Astyanax mexicanus: one gene and its partners. The protein of the gene in region 3 interacts with the protein of the main gene of each other region in a biochemical or structural test. Links are inferred from orthologs where the notes say so. Each region holds a gene or a part of one and is shown on either strand. Other genes may lie near its edges.

Evidence for each region.
Region 1: the proteins of dok1b (region 3) and rasa1a form a complex in vitro, tested with the Homo sapiens proteins (2 studies listed by BioGRID, with this or other methods). The link is inferred for Astyanax mexicanus from reciprocal best matches to the Homo sapiens genes DOK1 and RASA1.
Region 2: of the proteins of dok1b (region 3) and lyn, one has a biochemical effect on the other in vitro, tested with the Homo sapiens proteins (2 studies listed by BioGRID, with this or other methods). The link is inferred for Astyanax mexicanus from reciprocal best matches to the Homo sapiens genes DOK1 and LYN.

The regions. Positions count from the first base shown.
Region 1 is NC_064429.1:21,771,133-21,778,135, forward strand, and holds the start of rasa1a (ras GTPase-activating protein 1), read left to right. Parts: upstream 1-3,991; 5' UTR 3,992-4,853; coding exon 4,854-5,341; intron 5,342-7,003. UniProt on the Homo sapiens protein: Inhibitory regulator of the Ras-cyclic AMP pathway. Stimulates the GTPase of normal but not oncogenic Ras p21; this stimulation may be further increased in the presence of NCK1.
Region 2 is NC_064411.1:37,347,617-37,355,300, forward strand, and holds the start of lyn (tyrosine-protein kinase Lyn), read left to right. Parts: upstream 1-4,672; 5' UTR 4,673-4,820; intron 4,821-7,684. Other genes in the region: tgs1 (trimethylguanosine synthase), read left to right, coding at 2,897-3,010. UniProt on the Homo sapiens protein: Non-receptor tyrosine-protein kinase that transmits signals from cell surface receptors and plays an important role in the regulation of innate and adaptive immune responses, hematopoiesis, responses to growth factors and cytokines, integrin signaling, but also responses to DNA damage and genotoxic agents.
Region 3 is NC_064415.1:19,730,141-19,737,077, forward strand, and holds the start of dok1b (docking protein 1b), read right to left. Parts: upstream 3,014-6,937; 5' UTR 2,917-3,013; coding exon 2,860-2,916; intron 1-2,859. UniProt on the Homo sapiens protein: DOK proteins are enzymatically inert adaptor or scaffolding proteins. They provide a docking platform for the assembly of multimolecular signaling complexes. DOK1 appears to be a negative regulator of the insulin signaling pathway.

The sequences.
Region 1 (7,003 bases), on a different chromosome or scaffold from region 3:
CCACTTTTGGACATGGGTAACAAAAGACTCCTGCAAAGATTTGCTTTAATAGTTGCTTTTATGAATGTGACTCCACTATACTGCAGTTCTTGCCAAAGCAATCCCTTTCCTATGATTCTATCAGCGGTTGTTAAATGACGGTTCTAGATTCAGTACCATCTGATGAAATGAATATGACAGGTGTTCGGCTTAGGCTTGTGCTCTCGCCATTTATGCACTGAAATTCCTCCTAATTCCTTGAATCGTTGTGCAATGTAGAGGGAGAATTCAGCAAAACTGTTCCAATCTTTCTTTGAGGATTATGTATTGGCATATCAATTCTGTTGTACACTTCCATTTTCTCCACTTGATACAATAGGGTCCTTTTATAAAAAAAAGGATGCAACTTTACATTTCATAGAGTTGTTAGATAACCGAAACCCTCCTAGTCTGTTAGCAGAACAAGACATTACCCAAAAGTCGTTTTTATTACAGTATATTGTTATTGTTGCGATTCATTGCTTTCATCACTGTAAAGCTGGTGTTACGCCGCCTTATGCAGCCTCTACCGAGAGGGGGTGCTTTTTCTGGCGGGGGTGCTGAATTCGGCACCATAGTAGTGTCGAAATCTGCACCCTCACCATGGAAACACCCTCTCTTGGAAGAGGCTGCAGGTGACATGATTCTTTTTCCTTATTTCTTACGAGTCAGTGTAGCTTACAACAGTATCTTGGGTATACTGTCAAGGTAAAGCCAAGAAGGTGTGGGTGCGTGCTCCTGAGAGGGGGTGCTTTTCCTGGCAGGGGTGCTGAATTTGGCGTAACACCAGCTTTACAGTTATGAAAGCAATGAATCGCAACAATAACAATATACTGTAATAAAAATTACTTTTGGGGGGGCAAATTTACCTATTTCTGATATTGGGGGGGACACATCCCGCCCATACCCGCCCCAGTTCCAGTTCCTACGCCAATGTTGGGGATCCTCTTTTTGTATCAAATTATGATTATGATCAGTAATCAGCGCGTAGGGCACCTAAAAATCAAGCTCATACAAAAATGATCATAAAAATAGTAAACATAATATTGGCATATTTAAATAAAATTATGTATAACATATTAATAGATACACACAATACAAAAGTAACATATTTGCTTGAGGAAAAAAGATTGGAGTGTGCCTCTAGGCTCTGCAGTATGTGTGCCAACAGTTTCTGGAATGTGTTACAGGCCTGAAATGCAGGAATTGAAGTATATTAACAAATGAAATGAAGCTGACCAGACACGACTCTAATTACCGCTGAGCTGCATTAGCCTCTTAGCCTCATAGCTTTAAAACAGACACCAAATTAGATTTTTGGTTAAAGCATCACTTTAGCATCACTCGCTCTCTCCCTCCTGCCCCTCCCCCTCTCCCTGCCTCCTGTTTGTTGGCCACATTGGTTGGCCATGTGTGCGGTGTGTGTGTTTTGTGTGTCTGTGTGTCTACGGGGGGCTGGGGAATCAGGAGGAGGTCACGTCATGTCAGAGCCGAAGCCTGCCACAGCGCGGAAAGCGGGGGAGGCTGAGGAAGAGGAGGAAGTTGATGAAGACTGACAGCATATGTCAGCAGGCTCCACGTCAGGGACCGGGCTCTGCTGGCGTCTGCTTAAGAGACGTGAGAGAGAAGCATAAAAAGAGCAATCTGCAAAACGGTTAGGGGTGTTATAGGGCTGGAGGGGCATGATGGAAGATGAGCTGCTGAGAGATTGCAGAAAGAGACAGTGATAATGATGGAAGTGAAGGGAGCACATGTTCCATGAACTACGAAGAGGCCGCAAGCAAGAAAGGCAAAGGAGTAAGAAGCAAACACATATAGTATATCAGACTGAAGCTACTGGTTATCCTGTGGCTTCTAGTATATGTATATGTGTGTTTTAAGGTTAAGGAAGTGTCAAAATTATAGTTTTTGCTAATTGAGTACAGCAATTAAGAAAAACATTAAAACACATTATCCATTTCTCAGATATATTGAGCATATATATATATATATATATATATATATATATATATATATATATATATATATATATATATTTCTTTACATACTTTATTATCTGGGTGTACTACCTGGGTGGTGGGTCATTCTTCATTTTTCAACATGTTTTTTCAACACGCTTTTCAACAAGACAATGCAAAACACATGCTTCACACATTGCAAAGGCATGGTGTTTAAAAACACCAGCAGCACAACTGTGTCTGATCCACTCATGCCAGACCCACACATGCACTAACACACCACCGCCCTGCCAGTGTCAGGAGCTCTTGTTTTTTAAATATTCTGAACATGAGATGCTGTACAGTGCTGTTCAATATCAAAGTCAATTTTACCTATACAGCCCAGATAAAAGGGACTTGGCTCAGAAATTCTACAGACGAAATCACATTTGGAGATGGCAGAGTGCTTAGTCAAATTACTAACTGTACATATGGGAAATGCCACTGAGCGGAAGCAGATGTTTGGAATGGAGACAAGAGTGGCAATGAACGCAGATGCATCCACAGCCCGGCTGGTTCCCATAGTTACATCAGATTTGCATCCAATTTCCAGCAACATCCCCAGTCTCTTTTAAGCAAAACAAACCTGGCTACTGGAGAAGATCTATTGTCTATATTGTGTCTAGATTATTTGTATTGGCCCCTATGAGCAACCTATAATTCTAACTACATCAAATTGTTGTAGTCAGTCGGCCAAGGCATTCAGCTGCTCAAACTGTATTTATTTAGAATAATCAGTTTCTCTGGTTTAACTATTTATAGGTATATGTTTTAGTTAAATGAACATTGTGGTTTTATTTTATTCTAAACTACTGACCACATTTTTCCAAATTTTCAAATAAAAATATTGTCATTTAGAGCATTTATTTGCAGAAAATGAGAAATGGTTAAATTAACAAACAAAAAAAAAAAGATGCAGAGCTTTCAAACCTCAAAGAAATCAAGTTCCTGTTCATTTAAAAACAACAATACTAAAGGTTTTATCCAAGGAAGAGTTTAGAATCGATAATTGGTAGAATAACCCAGATTTTTTATCACAGCTTTCATGAACTGCTTGCATTTTTGTGCCAGGAGTGGAATAATGTCACCCAAAAGCAGTGTGTTAGACTGGTGGAGGAGAACATGCCAAGATGCATGAAAGCTGTGATTAAAAATCATGGTAATTCTACCAAATATTGATTTCTGAACTCTTAAAACATTAGCATTGTTGTTTCTAAATTAACGTGTTTTCTTTGCATTATTTAAGGCTATTCATTATTTAGACCATTTTTATTTGTAACTTTGAAGAAATGCCGTCAGTAGTTTACAGTAGTAAAACCACAATGTTCCTTGTACTTAAACACATACCTATAAATAGCAAAATATATTTTTATTATTATTATTGAAATTATTCTGAAGTGGTCTAATATGTTTTCCAGAGCTGCATAGCAAACATTAGCTAGCTAGCTCACACTAGTAGGCAAATATAGTATTAAAATATTATATTAATGTTTGTTTTATTAAATATTGAACATACAATCCTAAAATTGTACAGTCAAAACTTTGTATGGGTACATCTGCAAGATACTTGCTATATGTATAAGTTAATCCTTAGCTTTTCAGATAGCTGTGATTTTTTTTTCTGCACGAGCAACAGATCTCATCGAGTTTGTGAACAGTTGTGAACAGCAACGAACCGATTCATCTGAACGGTCTAGCTCTGATTTAGTTCAACGAATCGAATCACACAATACAGGAAAGAAAGTAGTGAGACCACTTTTCACAAAACACAAACTATGAGCATAGTGTAGTCTTTTAGGGGCTTGCGTTAGTAACTGCACTGAACTGTTTATTAGCTGAACTGTTAAGAGTGTGGACTATGAACGGGCGCAAACATTGAGTTAGACGTTTAACGTTGGAGAGTCGGTTCGGCAGATTTCAGAGTGATTGAAAAGAACAGAACGGTTCATTGACTCACTGAATTCACGACTCTGCGCTCTGTTAGCCGGGTCTTAGGGGGGGAAAGGAGTGGGACTGACTGGGAGCAGCTGTGGCAAAATGTCCAAGTAATCTCGAAAGAAAAGCGAACTTGCGCAGGAGGAAAACATTGCAGCCCGTTTTTTGGGGTGGAAATGAGGAAAGCGGCGGGTTCTGGGCGCTAGGACGCGGGGGTGGGTAGTGTGGCGTGGTGGAGGAGGCGGATTGGAGTGTTTTTTTTTTTTCAGGACTGACTGGAGTGGAAAGAAAATAACAGCCACAGAGAGTTAACCTAACTAGCTAAAAAACAAGAGGACTGGCTTCAGACCGACAATAAAAGCGCTTATTCCCGTCAAGTGGATTGCCAATACCTACTGGAAGGCAGGACGGGTTGTTTGTCTTGTGTTTTTGTGAGGTTTGGGCGCTTTATTCTTCATATTTTGTGTGGAAATTTTTAATTTTTCTGTCTTTTTCTGGCTAAACTCGAAACTCAGGAAACAATGAAGACATAACTCATCGAGTGGCCGTCAGCTAGCCTGGCTAGCTAGCTAGCAAGCAAGCAGGCATCGTGTGGAGCGAGCGAGCTAGCTAGCTTAGCTAACCTAGCTAGGTTAGCCCTAGCTAGCTAACGTAGCTAGTTAAGCGAGCTAGCGTAGCTAGGAGACAGCCACAGCTAGCCTGGGAGCTAGCTAGCTAGTCCAGCTGAGCTGAGCTGAGCTAAGTTGAGCTTAGCTGAGTTTCCCCCCTTGAGGAAAGTTTATTGTACGTCTTTTTTTCCACACACTTGAGGAAATATTTGAACGTGGAGGAGTTTAAGGATAGAGAACCGCACAGCCGCAAACGCCCCGCAGCCCCGCTTCTCCACCGCTTTCCCTGCCTTCAATGGACGCGGAGGTCAGAAACGAAGACCGGCCCACCGTACAGCCAGGGAGCGGGCTTACGGCCTTTTACCCCAAAACCAGCCGGCTGCGGGTGAGCGAATTCCGCCAGCAGCCTTCCCACACGCCGCTTGACAACCTCTCCGACCTGATGATTTACCCAGTGGCGGGGGAAGAGCTGTCTGCCGCGGGGAGTGGCAGCGGCGGTAGCGGCCAGCCCGGGGCTCATGGATCAGGGAGCTCAGGGACTGCAGCTGCTGCCGGCGGAGGCGGCGGCTGCTATTCCCCCACTTTAGAGGGACCAGATACCCGGATGTCTCCCACCTCGGCCGGCACGGACGGGCTGTCCGCCTTCCCTCCGCTGCCCCCGCCGCCACTTCCACCTCTTGCCTACGGGGCTCACGGCAGCGTGGACGAGAGTGACCAGCAGGATGGACCAGAATGCGAGGAAGAGGAGGCTGTGTTCTCCCTCTCCGCGCCACCCACTAACCAGTAAGGATGGCACCCTTCTTCTAATGCTTTCCACAAGTCTTTCTAGTTCCTCACAGGCTTCTTATAAAGCTGCTGAAAAAGCTACTAAAGTTCTGAAGTGGTGCTAAACTATGCGAAAGACTTGGTGTGTAGGGGAAAAAGGTTAATGAGCACAAACCTTTGTTGCTTCACATTTCATTGATAGAATTTTGAGGGCACTGACCTTTAAAACGAGCCACTGAGAACTTTAAAAGTTTACAAGAAGTTTATTTTTTTTATTATACTACAGTTAGTTCCGACCCTACAGTGTGATTGGCTGTGAGGCGTTCTGTGATTGCCATTATCACCTGGTAATGCACTGTAACAGAAACTCTGTTTTACTCGGCTGCATACAGGTAACCTAGCAGAGATGCAGATTGCAGAACTTACCAGTCAAACAGTGCAGCTACAAACAGAGCAGCAATGGAACTGTTTTAACTCACATAGTGCTTATGACCAAACAAATCGTATTTTCCGTCCTCTTTAACTCAAAATCTTTTAATAAACAGCGATACTGGAACTGTGGTATAATCACAGTAATACATGAGTGCCTTCAGGTGTATTTTTCGGCATCATCATAATTTTGTAATTAAGTCACAAAATCGACTGATGAGCCTGAACGAATAGGTAGGACAGGGGAACAGATTACAACATTATTTCTGTGAAAATGCATGAATATTTTAAAGGTCACCTTCCGTCGTTTTTTCTTTCATTTTAAAATGTCTAGTTGTGGTCTCTAGTATGAATGAATGACATGTGAGCCGTTTTTGTAAAAAAAAAAGTGCTCAGGTGTCTCTGTATAGCTCTTTTTTAATGGACTGTTTTAGGGGTGTGTCCAAAATGACCGGATTCCAGCTTTGCTCATGAATATTCATACATGCAAACAGCATGCAAATATCTCTCCTCTGATTGGCTAGGAGCACTGCGACGCCCCTCCACCGCTCTGCCGCTCACTGCCTCCCACCTCCTAACTGATGAGCGGTGATGTTGCGTCGCTTCAGCTCCGCCTCTGGGAGTTTCTGGAGCCAAGGTGGGCTGGTCTGTGAGTTTCTGCCTACGTAGGCAGAAAGATAATTCAAAATTCACCCGTTTTTCGGAGGGGGGGAGGGGGGATTTCTTTGCTTAGCTCCTGCAGACAATGGGGGCTGCAAAACAGTTTAATGTGCAGGTGTACACATTCAACTCGGAGAGACCTACTGTATTCCACAAAAAACAAGAAAAATCGGATTTTCGCGGAAGGTGACCTTTAAAGATATTTTCAGCAACAGCTGGAGTTCAACTTCCCCAAGGTACTGTGGTAATAAACAGTCTTTTTGTTTTTTTTAAATAAACTACCGGTACACATTCAAAATTCTCAGTGCCTTGTTTTAAATGTCAGGGCCCTCGGAATTCTACCAATGAAGTTTGGCACTACTTCAGTGTTGTGTTGCCATATATCTGGTAATATGTATATATATCGATAATTCTAAAACAAACAAACAAACAAAAAAAAAAACGAAATATCTCCAGCCCTAATAGAGACTCACGTGGGGCTTGTATAGCAATCAGATTTTCTATTTTGTCCATGGGTTCCACTCATTCATATGAATGTCAGTGATTGGCCCCTCAGGGTTGTTGGAGGAACCAGAATGGATTAAACATTGG
Region 2 (7,684 bases), on a different chromosome or scaffold from region 3:
TGTCCATCCCTTTATGACCACAGTGTACACATCTTCTGATGGCTACTTTCAGCAGGATAATGCACCATGTCATAAAGTATGAATCATCTAGACAATGAGTTCACTGTACTTGAATGGCCTCCTTGGTCAACAGATCTCAATCCAGTAGAGAACCTTTTAGGATGTGGTGAAATGGGAGATTCGCATCATGGATGTGCAGCCGACAAATCTGCAGCAACTGTGTGATGCTATCATGTCAGTATGGACCTGATTCTCTAAGGAATTTTTCCAGTACCTTGTTGAGTCTATGCCAGAAAGAATTAAGGTAGTTCTGAAGGAACCTGGTACTAGCAAGGTGTACCTAATACAGTATGTATATAATGTCAGCTGTAAAAGAGATCTCAAAATTACTTTGGCATATGAGATTTGACCGCAATGCGAGGAAACCACCAGAAGTCCACTGAAACAGAATAGCAGGTGCTCAAAGGTGCTAGAAAATGATTTAATGTTTCAAGAGAAACAGAACGCTGTGAGCTTCACTCAGGAATTCATGGCACGACTACCATCCAGAAAGCTTTTGTATCAAAAGACCAGAGTGCAAAGACCTTTACAGGAAGTTCTGAAGCACAAATACAGTAGCATGCAAAAGTCAAAGAACACCTTGCGTTTATTTAATTCCTAGCCTAGCTTTCAGGAGATATTTCTGCGGAGACAAGAAATAAGATAATCCTCCAGCATCCGCTCAGGACTTCAATGACTGCATTCCAAGAAGATTAAAGCTATTCTGGAGGCGAAGGGTGGCCTATGTCCAACCTTCAATCAGAACAATTTTTTGTTACATAGACCAGAATACACATCAATTAAGCATAAAATCATCGATTAACCCACTGACTAATATGTGGGATCTACATATTAGGCAGCAAATGAACAGTCAGTTCCTAAAGGTGTTGGGGTTTTTGAAAGCAGGAAAAATTGACTTTTAAAAAAAGTGTAGGAATCTGAGCTACGTTGATATCAATGTCCGATTTGTAATGACCAAGGGATTGAATGGTTTAGAGGATCTCCAAAACATCAGATCTTGTAATGTCTTTGAAACAGATGCCCTGCATGGTGTCCAGCATGTTTCGCTGAGCATAATGCCTCTTTTCCCAAACTTGAAATTCCTCCAAAAACTTGCATGGACACAGTGTTTGTTCACGGCTGTGGTAATTAGCGCTATCTGGCTAATATATCAGTTTAAACTGTGCTTTAGGCCAAAAGCAAAATCAAACTACACCAAAGAACAGTGAGGACGGGGCACTAAAACCGCGAAAGAGAGCAGCATTAGTGACGTTTGACCACAACCTTGAAACCTGAAGAGACTAACAGTTAGTCTCTTACAAACAGTATTCACTCTCACAGTAAAGACGATTAAAATCACATTCTAATCAGTAAATCATTTATTTATTACAGCTACATCATCTACATAAACAAGCTACTGATTGTGTAAACTCTGTAAAACCCTGAATTGCCTGCATTAAACTGATTTTACAGTCATACCTATGGAGTAGTTGTAACCCAGTATGAATCTGAAGGGCTTGTAATTTTACACTAGAATAGTCAGAATCATAGAGTGATTTAAATCCTGTGTGAATCTGCAGTGCATCTAGTTTTAAAATCATTAAAAACAAGTATGATTATGCAGTATGTGTAGTTTTAACAATCTAAAAGTAGTAATTAGGTGTAATTTTAACCCAGTATGAGTGTGCGGTGTAAAGCTTTAACAGTCTTACAGTGTTAATTAAGATGTGACAACAAGTATGTATTTACAGTAGGCATAGTTGTTTCAGTCTAGTAGCAATAATTGTCTATTTTTTATCTAGTATGAATCTGCAGTGTGTTTAATTTTATCGTTGGCATTCATAATAATGAACATGTTTTAATCCAGTAAAAATCTAAAATGTTTGTAATTTTAACAGTATGACTAAGAGTTGTGATGTTACTTTAGTCCAGTATGAATCATCACAGTGTGCAAAGTCCAGCAGTATTAACTGTAGAGTGGTTTTATTCCAGTATGAATCAGCAGTGTACTTTATTTTTAAATCTGACCGTCATTATTTTGTAGTGATTTTAGTCCAGTATGAATTTAACAACCATACCATCATAATAGTAGCATGGTATTAATCCAATATGAATTTGCATTTTGTATATATTTTACAGTCTGACAGTGTTAAATATATTCTTTTATTAAACCAGTATGAATTTGCTGTGTGCATAGTATAACAGTTGATCACTCAAGTATGAATCAACATCATGTGCAATTTTTACAAATTGAACTCTTAATTTTGGTTGGCCTGTTTTAATCAGTGTGTTTACAGTTTGTGTAGTCTGGCAGTAATAATTGTATTGTGATTTTGATCCAGTATGAATCTGCAGGGTATATCATTTTTACAGTAAGACAGTTTACAGTATGGTCTGACTTTTATTCAGTATAAACCTGCAGTTTTTATAATTTTTACAGTGAGACAGTATGAATTATAGTCTGATTTTGATCCAGTATGAATGTGCTGTAAAATTGGAGATATTGTTTTTATTGAGACACGTTATTTTAACAGTGTAACCATACTAATTAGTGAGCAATTTTAATGCAGTATGAATATGTCATGCTAGTAAAATATCAGTTATCAGTGAGACGTGGTTGTGAGGTGTATGGTAATTGGTCCTACAGTGTATTACTGAAGTGAACGTCCAGCCTATTACCATCCTTTCTGTGGAAGTTTGAGGAGCTGGGGGACAATCTGCCAGTCAAATCTCATACATTATACAACCTATTTGAAGTAAACAATGTAATCCACCTAGATTTATTGTGTAGGTGTTTAAAGTACAGCAGCTTCAGATTAGTCTTAATGTTTTATTATATTTCTCTCTCTCTTTATAGATTGCAGCTCTGGCAGGCCCTGGTGGGAAAGTGGAAGTGGAGCAGAACTTTCTCAATAACAAACTCAAAACTATAACTGCATACTTCGGCAGTTTGATAAAGTCAGATTCTTAGTTTCGGTATTATTATTTTAACTCCCTCTCCTTTTGTACTTTATACACAGTTCTAATAATGTTCAGTGGATTCTGTACTATAATGTACTATAATGTGTCTTTCTGTATGTTTTATCCTACCATCCTTTTTTTTTACAAGTTATACCTGCCATGTTTGTAAAGGGAATTGTTTGTTTATTTGTTTTTTTAATAAATTAAAGTTCATGTCCTTTCGTGTGCATGTGTGTGTGTGGTCTTTGCCCTCACAGTGTTCACACTAAAACTGTTGACCGAGTGTGGGTGTGGGCAGGCCGGGGAACTGTGGAAGTACACTCATTTATCAGGGCTTAATTGTTTGTTAAATTTGAGGGGTTGCCAAATTGTAGTATTTCCTGCTTAGGAGTAAATGCAGTATAATTCACTATTTATCATCGTTCACTTATCTAGAAATTTGGCTCCTTGACCTGTTTTTTTTTTTTTTTTTTTTTTTTTACACCCAGATCAAAAGGGTAGTCCAACCATTTTTATAATGTAGGCATAGTTCATAGTTCATCACTTGAGATATATGCATAGTCATTCAGAGATTGAAATAGTTTATTGGAGAAAAATGGACTAACTAAAATTGATGGTAAATGTAACTCTGCATTCCCATGCCTACAACACAAATATATAATATTTTGTTTGCGGTCCAAATCAACCAGTGAATCGTTTCCTGTCTTTTAAATTTCATGTTTAATGCTGCTGACTGTATAATAGGAAAAAAAACTTTAAACTCAGGACTTAAACAGGAATAAAAGGGCTGCAAAATTTGTGACGATGGCGAAGACATTTGCCAGTGTTGGCTTGGTGGTTAGAGCAGTGTTATTGGTGATGGGGTTCTGGGTTTAAAACCCAGGTTAAAAAAAAACAGCCATTGTTAAACCCTTAAAGGGAATCCATTAAAGGAGGACGAGTAAACTACCTTAAAGTACTGTGTGTATAAACAGATTTTTCTTTTAAACTTCCTGTGCACATTTAAAGTTATCAGTGCTTTGTTTTAACTATTAGCACCCTCAGAATTCTTCCAGTGAAGTGTGGAACCGTTTTTGGCGACAAAAAAAAATAAAATAGTGATTTCTTTACATGGGCCTGTTAGGAGCATTGAATGCTGGGGGTGAATGGAGGTAGGCTACTCGACAAAAGTTCACACTCGTTATCATATTTTACTACACACAGGAATTCTCCTTTAAGCCTTACTACTTCCCAGTCCCAGGTGGATTTATAGTTCAATTTTAATGTGTCAACACAAATTTTGAATATGGTTGTCAGGAGCCCATATCTACTGTTTATTAACCACCAGAAATACTGTATCAACAACTGAGCAATACCATAGTAGCCACCTTGCTAAAACAGTACTCTGTAGTTTTTTTTTTTTCAATCAATCTTTATTCTGATGCTTTAACTGAGAAACCCCCAAAACAATAACTAAGTAGGAGTGTCTGCGTGGATTAAACATACAGCTCCACCTGTCTAAATTATAGTACGTTTTAGATCTACAACTTGTGCATTGACTTCCATGCGGCTGTTTTATTGGTTCTGGGCTGAAGGCCGGTTCAGTTTAAGCCCTCCATCGTTCACTGCACTGAGTTTTAGCCCCCTTTATGCAAATGCAGTGCGGGTAGCAGCAGGAAGTAGCTGCAGGTTCCTCTTTCTGTCTGTCTGTCCAGCTCACTTCAATGAGTCTCGCGACCACAGGCGAGAGAGAGAGAGCAGCGCGCGCTCGTTTGGCTTTACCCTCAATAAACTCTCTTAACTTAAATGCGTCACAACATTTAAGCTTCATATAACTACAGGTAAGATAATCCTTTAAATACAGTCTCTCTCCAGCTCCTCGTCTTTTTCCTTCCTTCTTCTTTTCTTTCTTTCTTTCAACTCTTTCCTCCTAACGAGCTGTTATACTCCTATCCGTTCTACTTTAAATCTTCTCATCTGACACGTTAACTAGCTGGTGGTTTTCAGGTGCTAACCTGGATAGTGTTAGTGAAAAAGCTGCGGTATTTAAGGTGGAACGGACAATTCGAGTAATAAAATAAGTTAAGGTGATTTGTACAGTTTTGTGACGTGAACAGTTAACTTACAATAAAAGGGTTAAATAAGGTATAAAAGTAAGAAGATTTATAGTAAAACGTTAAAAAAGGTTTAGAAATAGCAAGAAATTACAGTACAGCCATATCAATTTGTATAAAAGTGAAAAAGCTAAACAAAAGGGCTATAAAACAGGAATTAACATTAAAAACAGTAAAACTGTAAAAAGAAACATGGGTGTACAATGTTAAAAAGCTTTAAAACTAGACAATATTGACAGCAAAACGTTACAAAAAAAAGGCTATTAAGCCGATAAAAGATAGAAAACGTAAAACCATATTAAAACAATGAAAGGGTGTGAAAAACAAGTTGACAAGTCAAAGAGGGGTACAAAAAATGAGAAATTTACAGTAAAACATTAAAAATGGTTTAAAATAAAAAATGTGAGAGTAGAACATTAAAAGGATATAGAACTGACAGACAAACATTAAAACTGTATGAAAATAGAAAATAATACTGTAAAATATTTGTAAAAGGGTGTAAAAATTGGAAAAGCAAAACGGTACAAAAAAAGGTACAAAAAAAAGAAAAATTCACAATAAAAAGTAAAATGTTAAAGAGATATAAAATTGGACAATTGACAAAAAAAGCATATGAAACTTAACAAAATGTCAAAAGAAATATTACATTAAAACAGTAAGAAAACAAAAGAATTCCGTAAAAAAAGGATACAGGGCGTAAAAACTGAGAAAAACTAAGAAAATGGTATAACATCAGGAACATTTGACAATACATTGTGAAAGGGTATAAAAACAGCCAAATCTACAGTAAAACATATATATTTTTTATATAACTAGACAAGAATTAACAGTTGAACATTAAATAAAGATATGAAAATTAACATAACTTGACAGTAAAACATTAAAGGCATACAACAGAAACATTTGGAGAGAAGTAATAGGACTGTTGCTGTTTAAGCTACTTTTTCTATTGGCTAACTAAAGTAAACTCTTATTTGTCTCTATATATAGATTCATGTTTAGATTTTGAGAAAAATATCCCACCTTTGCAACATTGTATATTTTTTTGTAATCTTTATCAACAGACATTGCAAATTGTGTTCACATCCTAATGTAGCCTAAAGCAGGAACTGGTCACTCAGTCCAGAATGACAGTTAGAGCGTGAGGTCAGATCAGCTTCTGCTTGACCAGAATAAAATTGCTGCTTAATGCTCATCGTTGCCAGAAAAATGGAGGGGAAATCCTGTACAAGGTCCCAGAAGAGCTTGAAGTGAGAGATCTTAATCAGCAGTGGCTTTAGAAGAGCCCAGTAAACTCCCCCGACTCCCTTATCCCATATCTCATGGTTTTACACATAGTACACATGCAGTGCATTAAACAATTAAGCTCAATTAATATTTGAAATTTAATTAGTAATGATCTTTTCATCTGTACTTTTATAAAAGTGAAGTAATAGTGATTAGTTGGCACATTTTGTCTCGATGGTGCAATGAATTACTCTTTTTGGTCTTCCTGAACACACCCATTTCTTAACATTTTGTCTTTCTTCCTTTTTCTTTTTAATCATGTACATTTTTAATTAACTACTTAATTACTAATCAATAGTGACAGTGCTTATTAATTTAATACCTTCAAACCACTAATTTAGTTTAAATATTTGGCTAGGGAATTGTGAAGTGTGAACTGATTACAAGACCCTCAGCCGATCAACCAATACATTAAAAACAATTTTGTGTAGGTCGCATTTGTGACACCTACATAGGTCTGTCCTCTCGATGAGGGACTTTACAAGACCTGTGAAGGTGCCCTGTGGTATCTGGCATCAAGACATTAGCAGCAGACCCTTTATGCTATGTAAGCTGGGACGTGGGGCCTCCATTGATCATATCAGTGGTCTTCACTGGTTTCCTGTCTTGAAGCACTTCTGTGTACTGGAAAAATCCCACTAAAGACTTGCCTGATATTTTGGAGATGCTCTGATCCAGTTGTCTAGGTGTCACTATTTGGCCTTGCGACAGTGTCTCAGATTCTCATGCTTGCCCTTTTTATCTTCAAGAACTGACTGTTCACTTTGAGCCTAAAATATCCCACTTCTGGACAGGTGCCTTTGTAAAAAAAATCAACCAATCCATGTTTTTTGCCTCATCTGTCCGCAGTTATAATCTATTGACTGATTTATATAATATAAATAATTGACGTTTTATTTATAAAAATCCTATAAATAAACTTTTCTGGTTTTTAACATACAGAACAGAATTTGGCTATAAATAAAAACAATAGTAATGATATTAGCCAGATGTTTATGTCTGGAATAAAATGATCATATTTTATATCTATAAAAATTAAATAACGTACAATTTGAGGTTTAAAGGACGATTAGTATAAAAGCTACTTGGCCTTTCGTGATACTAGAGTTAACGCCGTATCATACAATACACTTTTATACCCTCAATCATTTTTGCCGGCCTCCGTATTGCAAATTCACTTTAGTTTAGTTAATGAGTATGTACGCACCAAAAATAAAATCTGTGAGCAAAACTCAACAAAATGAAACGTTTGCCCAAAAGTTGAATAATAAATATAGAACACATTTTTTTTCACAGCTTTTCAT
Region 3 (6,937 bases):
CACAAACGAAAATTGTTATTTCAAAGAAATATACATTAACATTTTTACATACATTTTTCACAAACAAATAAGGAACCGTTGTTCACTAAAATGCAAAACTGTACCATCTCCACTAGCTAAAAGCAAGAATTAACCATTCCTAAAATCGTCACCGCTCTGAGCCAAATAATATTGCTGTTTACACTCAGTCTGACGTAAATTGGTAAGATAACTCATCATATCAAATAGGGAAACTTACAAATGCAACACACATATGTATTTGATCAGTCTGATATTGAGCAAGGTCTAATAGTGGGTGCCAAATAGATGGCACATTGCATTTCTGAAGTTGTACAGGCATTTTACATTCCCTGACCCACATCAGGAATATATCATATAGAAAGTAATGACTGGTTACTAAGTAAACTGTCCATGCGAACAGAACTCTGGCAGAAATATCATCCACATTGACTGAATTCAGAAGACCCAACACAGGAGGTCAGTGACTGGCCTAAAGCAGAGTCTAGTAAGCAGTTCCAAACTCACAACTGTTCTCTTGCTCATCCAACAAAGCCAATTAATTGCTAAAAAGTTAAAGAAAACAAAAGGCAAAATGTTCCATAAAGAAACACATAAAAAAATAACTTTTAAATTTGATTTTATTTTCTCCTGTCAGGTTTTGAAAATAAAAGCTTGTTGTGTGACAACGTCGATATCCACAGGTCTTCACAGCAGCTATGACTCTTATCTGTTGCCTCAGGGTTACTAATGTGAAATTGTTTGCTCATACTTTTCCTTTGCCAAATAGGGAGAATAGTTTCAAGAGACACATTAAGGAAGCTATAAGAATAGATACTAAGCCTGAAGTAGAGCCACTGGCTATGATTTTAGAGACTTGAGATTTGAGTGTCACATGATTCATGTCAGTGTGAAATACTGGTAAAAGCAAACTGGCTTAACACAGTGTGCTTAGCCTGCATGAACTGAGATGTTTAGGTGATGTAGCATTTTTACACTTTTTATTTGTGCTTCTGGTGAAAAGATAAGGCAACACATTTTCAAACGTTTGTAAATTTAGTGTAAGTGAATTAATAGATTGCAGAGCGTGAGAAAAGAGTTATGTGTGTGTGTCTGTTGGATACAATTTTTTTTGTAGAACTACACCTAAATATCCGACAGTGAAAATAACTGCTTTTCCTGAACGCTGTGTTCGAGCATGCAAGCTTCCTTTTGTAAACAGCAACGTCCAAAACAGAGGGCAGTCGTGCTGGTGGTGTGTGTCTGACTGTGCTGCTCATTCATGTGACTATCTCATGTCACAGGAAAGAGAAGAATGGAGCGAGACCTCATGGTTACAGATATGTGTTATGATTAACTGATATGAGTTCTTGAACTTCTGTTTTTTTTTTTTAATGAGTGGAATTATTCAGTCAAACGTTACACATAAATAGAAGTGTGTAGCAACTTGTTAAATTTACGCAGATACACGTTTTCTAATATGAATTTAATGGATTTGTACTTTTACTTTTGTATTTTTAACAAAATTTTACTTCAAGAAACAGCTTTCAAATTTTTCCCCAACTGATGTTCATTTTAGAACACGGTGCATGAAGTGATTTGCAGGTAGAGATATTCATTGTGTACATTACATTACGTACTGTATAATGATGAATCAATAACCCAAATACTGTGACTAACCTAGCTCTACATTTACTCAGGAATGTTTACTTAGCTATATGTACTCAAGTGTTAATTTTTATAAATTCTTGAGTATTTTTAAATAATGCTACTTTAACAGAAGTACTCTTGTGATTAAATTATTTTACTTGTGTTTAACACATTAGTCGTCAGATTCATGCCAGGTTGTTTGTACTGATTTACAATTTATTTTTTTTATTTAGACCACAAGTGCACCTTATGAACGTCAGCGTCTGTGCTGAGAGATACAGAAATGTACTAATAAAAGTACAGTGCTATAAGTTTCTCAGTACTAATGTAGTGTTTTGGTGCTTGTTTTTAGTAGAGCAGTTTTTTGGGAAGAACTTGGCGATACGATACATACCATATATTGGTGTCAATATACTGTGATACTTTTATATATTCATACACCCTTGCTTTTAGAGATGTAGCTTTATTTACTTGTAAGTGACATCAGATGGATATGAATTTGTCCAACTCTGCTAACTCTGTAAATATCCACCCTTAATAGAAGTGAGTCTGAGACAGTCTGGATGTAAATAACCTCAGACAATGTCCTCGATGTTTACAGCAACACATGGTTCATCTAAGTTCTGGTGCTGTTACATTATTACCACAGTATCTATCTATCTATCTATCTATCTATCTGATCTTACATTATTACCACAGCTCTATAACACTACTGAGAGAGTGAACAAAACTGTGTCTGAGACAATCCTGATGTAAATACTAAATAACTTAAGACAATGTCCTTGGTGTTTGCAGCAACACGCAGTTCACCTCAGTTCCGGTGCTGTTAAATTATTACCACAGCTCTTTAAAATTACTGAGAGAGTGTCTGAGACTATCTAGATGTAAATAACTTAAGACAATGTCTTTGGTGTTTGCAGCAACACGCAGTTTACCTCAGTTCTGGTGCCCTTACATTATTGCCACAGCTCTTTAACTCTATTAAGAGAGTGTGTCTAAGACTATCTAGATGTAAATAACACGCAGTTTAGCTTAGTTCTGGTGAACTTCCATTATTACCACAGTTCTAGTTCAAGTTTACTGAGAGAGTGTGTGGAAGTGTGTCTGAGACTATCTAAGATGTAAATAACCTCAGCCAACGCGGTGTTTGGAGCAGCAGACGGAGAGTGTGGGGGGAGGCTGAAGTCTGGAGGGAAGAACAGAGCAGCTTACCTTGCCGAACTTCTGGTGCTGGACATAAAGTTGCCCCTCTTTGACGAGAGTGTCCATCTTGTAGCGAGTGCTGGAGTCGCTCCTTTGAAATAAAACCCAGACTCTAGTCAACACGCGAGTCCCCCTCCTCTCCTCCTCCTCCCCCCCCCCTCTCTCTCTCTCTCTCTCTCTCACTTCTTCACACTTCCTTCCAAGTACGTCTCGCTGCAGCCTGTAGGAAGGCGGAGTTGGACATCCAACTCCGCCCACATCCAACTCCGCCCACATGTGCTCTTGTACGCCAACCCCCCTACTTTTTTGTTCAAGAAGCACTGTGTGCCACGTGAAATACGCATATAACGCCGATGTTGCGCTAAATTTACGCATATCTTGTGAGTAGTTCCACCACGTAGCCTTGGCTACAGCACAACACATGCTGTAGTGTAATGCACAGATATCACAAAAAATAGGCTATATATACAGTACCAGCCAAAAGTTTGGAAACACTTTCTCATTCATTTTTGGTTTAACATTGTAAATAAAGTAATACATAAGGAATCATGTGAACTTAAAAGTGTATGATTTTATTGTTTTTCTTATATGGCATGCTGCTAACTTGTGGTTTATGAGGCTGGTAACTCATTCTGTGTAACAGAGGGAACTCTTCTTTTTCATCACGTGTGCCATTTCTCCTTTATTTTATACAATAAGCAAATAATTGCATACAACGATTTGCTGTTTCCAAAAGATCAATTGCCTCTGTCCTGTATATCACAATACATTAATCTGTCCCACTCACCAGCAGAGTAAGCCATTATTTCACTGCATTAATCCTTACATTTAAATTTGTTAAACTAGTTGCCAGAGTGTGTAGATTTTATAAATTTATTTTAGACTGGTAAATATCTCCAGAATTATTGATTAGCTATCATAGGAATCATTATTTACTTATTATATAAAGTTAAAACTTACGATATACAGTTTTTGGTTATGTTCCATATGAAATAAAGAGCACATTATCAATCATGGCTTTGCACTGGTAGAGGCTGGTCAAAGGGTGCATCTGATTATTAAAGTGTTTGATTGTTAGATCACACCTGTTCTCTGTACTGTAATGCTCTATACTTCATATTACAGATAGACAGTGCTTCTTATCACCACTCAGCAGGGGGAAGGCTATTTGTGTCATAGGCATAGCTAATATATAATAATGATATTAGAAGTAATTCTGCATCTTCACTGTCAACAGGGTGCTGAAAATATTACAGATGAGAATGACACAGCTGCACTGTATAGCATACAATTTAGGACCACCACAGAGCAGCTATTATGTGGCTTGTTGGTTATTCACAACACTACAGTGACACTGACATAGTGGTGTTAAGAGCTGTGTTGGTATGAGTGGATCCGACAAAGTAGTGCCTCTGGAGAATTTAAACACCTCATTGTCACTACTGGACAGGAAATGCTCCATCAACCAGCATCATGTGGGCAGCGTCCTGTATTCAGCATCAAGTAGGCAGCATCCCATGGGCACTGATGAAGAATTTGCAGATTTGCAACAAACTGTGCAGCAACAGATTTAAAGATTCTGTCTCTGACTTTTCACTCACAATGTAAAGCAGCTGTTGGTAGAAGTGTCTAATAGAGTGAACAGTGTTTTATACCTATTGTATATTATACACCAGTAAACCATTATGCAACTAAAGTGTCCTAGATGCTAATTGGAGCTAAAAAAAGAATAATAGAAGCAGAAACAAGCAGGTGGTAATAATGGTATGCTGGATAGTGTATAACGATAGAGTACAATATATCAAATGCTGTGGTTTCAGAAATTAAAATATATGTATACATAGCTATTTTGTCAATAATAATAATAATAATAATAATAATAATAATAATAATAATGATATCCCTCTCCTGCTTCTCCTCTCCCAATTTTGTATGGCTGACAGTAGTTCCCAGGGAAATTAACTCCATTTACAAACACTTTGTCCAAGCTAATACAATATCTTTATTGGCATTTATTGGCACACTAGCCTTTAAAATGTTTGGTTACATGCTTTGGTCAAACAAATACAGAAGTCTTTATTTAAAAATGCAACACCCAGCCACTCACACTCAGCCACTCACACACCCAGCCACTCACACACCCAGCCATTCATGAAGCTGGCTGCAGAATCCAGGGTGCTCGTTTTCGCTGTAAAATGCCACAAGCTCCCCTCGTCTCCCATGCCCAACGTAGCCTGTAATATAAGTAAAAACACACACTTTCACAAAGTAACAATCTCCCAAGCCCCAATACCTTAAATATATTGACTTACCAATTTCTGACCTCAGGAAAAAATTATCAAAATTTATTTAGAACAAACATACCCAGTATGTAGTCTTTATAAGTTTCTTGACAGTTCTGGCAGCACTGCAGTTCGTACATCCTGCGAAACTCGTCTTTACATGCAGCACTGTGATGTTTTCATGGCACTACACCTGTAGGTTTAAAAAAATCAAGAATTTTAAAATGATTTCAAAATCAGTGAGTGTAATTCCTTTTCTAAGGGAAAACAAACATCTTAACTGTACTGAAATATCATGCTTACTGTCAAGCCACTCGAAATGTGCCCGGGCCCGGAATGATTGTTGTCCAAACAATGTCCCGGAAGAGACGACAAACCAGTGACAGCTTTAAAAAAGCTTTGTCACCCTCATCCAGAACTGTATCTATGAGAATAAGGGGCATCTGTGAAAAACATTATAGAAGCATGTAGATTTTGATTCATGAAAATTATAGTAATTGAAAAAAATGACCAGATAACATTCTAAGGCTGCAACCAATTACTATTTTGGTATTCTATTAATCTGAGTTGGCACTTATTATTTCAATCATATCCCCAATCTCTGATTACTGTAGGAATGGCTAGCATTTTTGCCTGAAGACTGTAGTCAGCCTCATTCTGTTGACTAATCTCTGCCTTAACGTAACAAAACAGCTCTCTGCTTTTCTATCCCTTTAAAATGATAGCACTCCAATAGCTTATGGGCTTCAAATGTCCTTGAAATGACTAGTCAACACTAGGTCAAGTTGAAATTTCAAATAATGTCAACTTATCTTTTCAGCCCAATTCAGACTTTTGAAAACAAACCACAACAGTAAAACATTTTAAATGGCCCAGTTAAATTAACCCGAAATAAAAAAAAAACACACATCCACACCCTCACACCTGTTCAAAGGAGACGTTGCCCATTCTATCTCCTTCATCAGTCACACGTTCAACACGCTGAACTTTCCTGAGGGAAAATATAATAATTAATATAATTAATACCATGCACAGAGGAAGCAAGACCAGAACTGGGAGAAGGTGTATCAGGAGTAGCTGGCAGAGGGGGAGCTGGACGTGCATCAGAAGTAGCAACAGTCTGTGGATTAAACACTTCTGCTATAATGGTCTTGGTTGCACTGCTGCACAGAGATACATGATGTCTGAACTGGTCTTTGCATAGTATTGTATGGCTGCAATAGACACAATAAAAGTGTGCTGTAGGTGTGCAGTTTAGAGATGAAGGAAACTGTAAGCAGGGGCATTTGAAAACACCACACTGGCCAAACCGTGAAGGGTCAGGAGTGGCCTGGACATGTGTTGGATGCTGTAAAACAGAAAGCAACAAAACACAACATGAGCTTACAATTACTATATCGGTGCACATTAATTGTAACTACATTCAGTACAAAGGTAATAAATGTGCATCGACTTAACCCTCCTGTTACGTTACGGGTCAAATTGATCCATTTAGAAAGATAGTAAAAGTATTTTTTCTGTATGAAACGTCTTCAGCTTGCCTTTATTTGTATAATTAACATATAACATGAAAATGGTTAATTTCATATTTGCAACAACCCCCTGCAAAAACTAAAACGAAATTGTAATGTTATGTTTCATTTATATGTAAAAATATTGTGTTGGTCGTTTAAAAGTAACAAAGTAGTAAAACAAAAAAAAAAAGTAAGATTTTTTAAAATGGAAAAACAAGTGAATTATCCTAATTGAACTATTACCTCTATTGTACACTATTGTACTAAATGTTGATAGAACAATCAGCAATG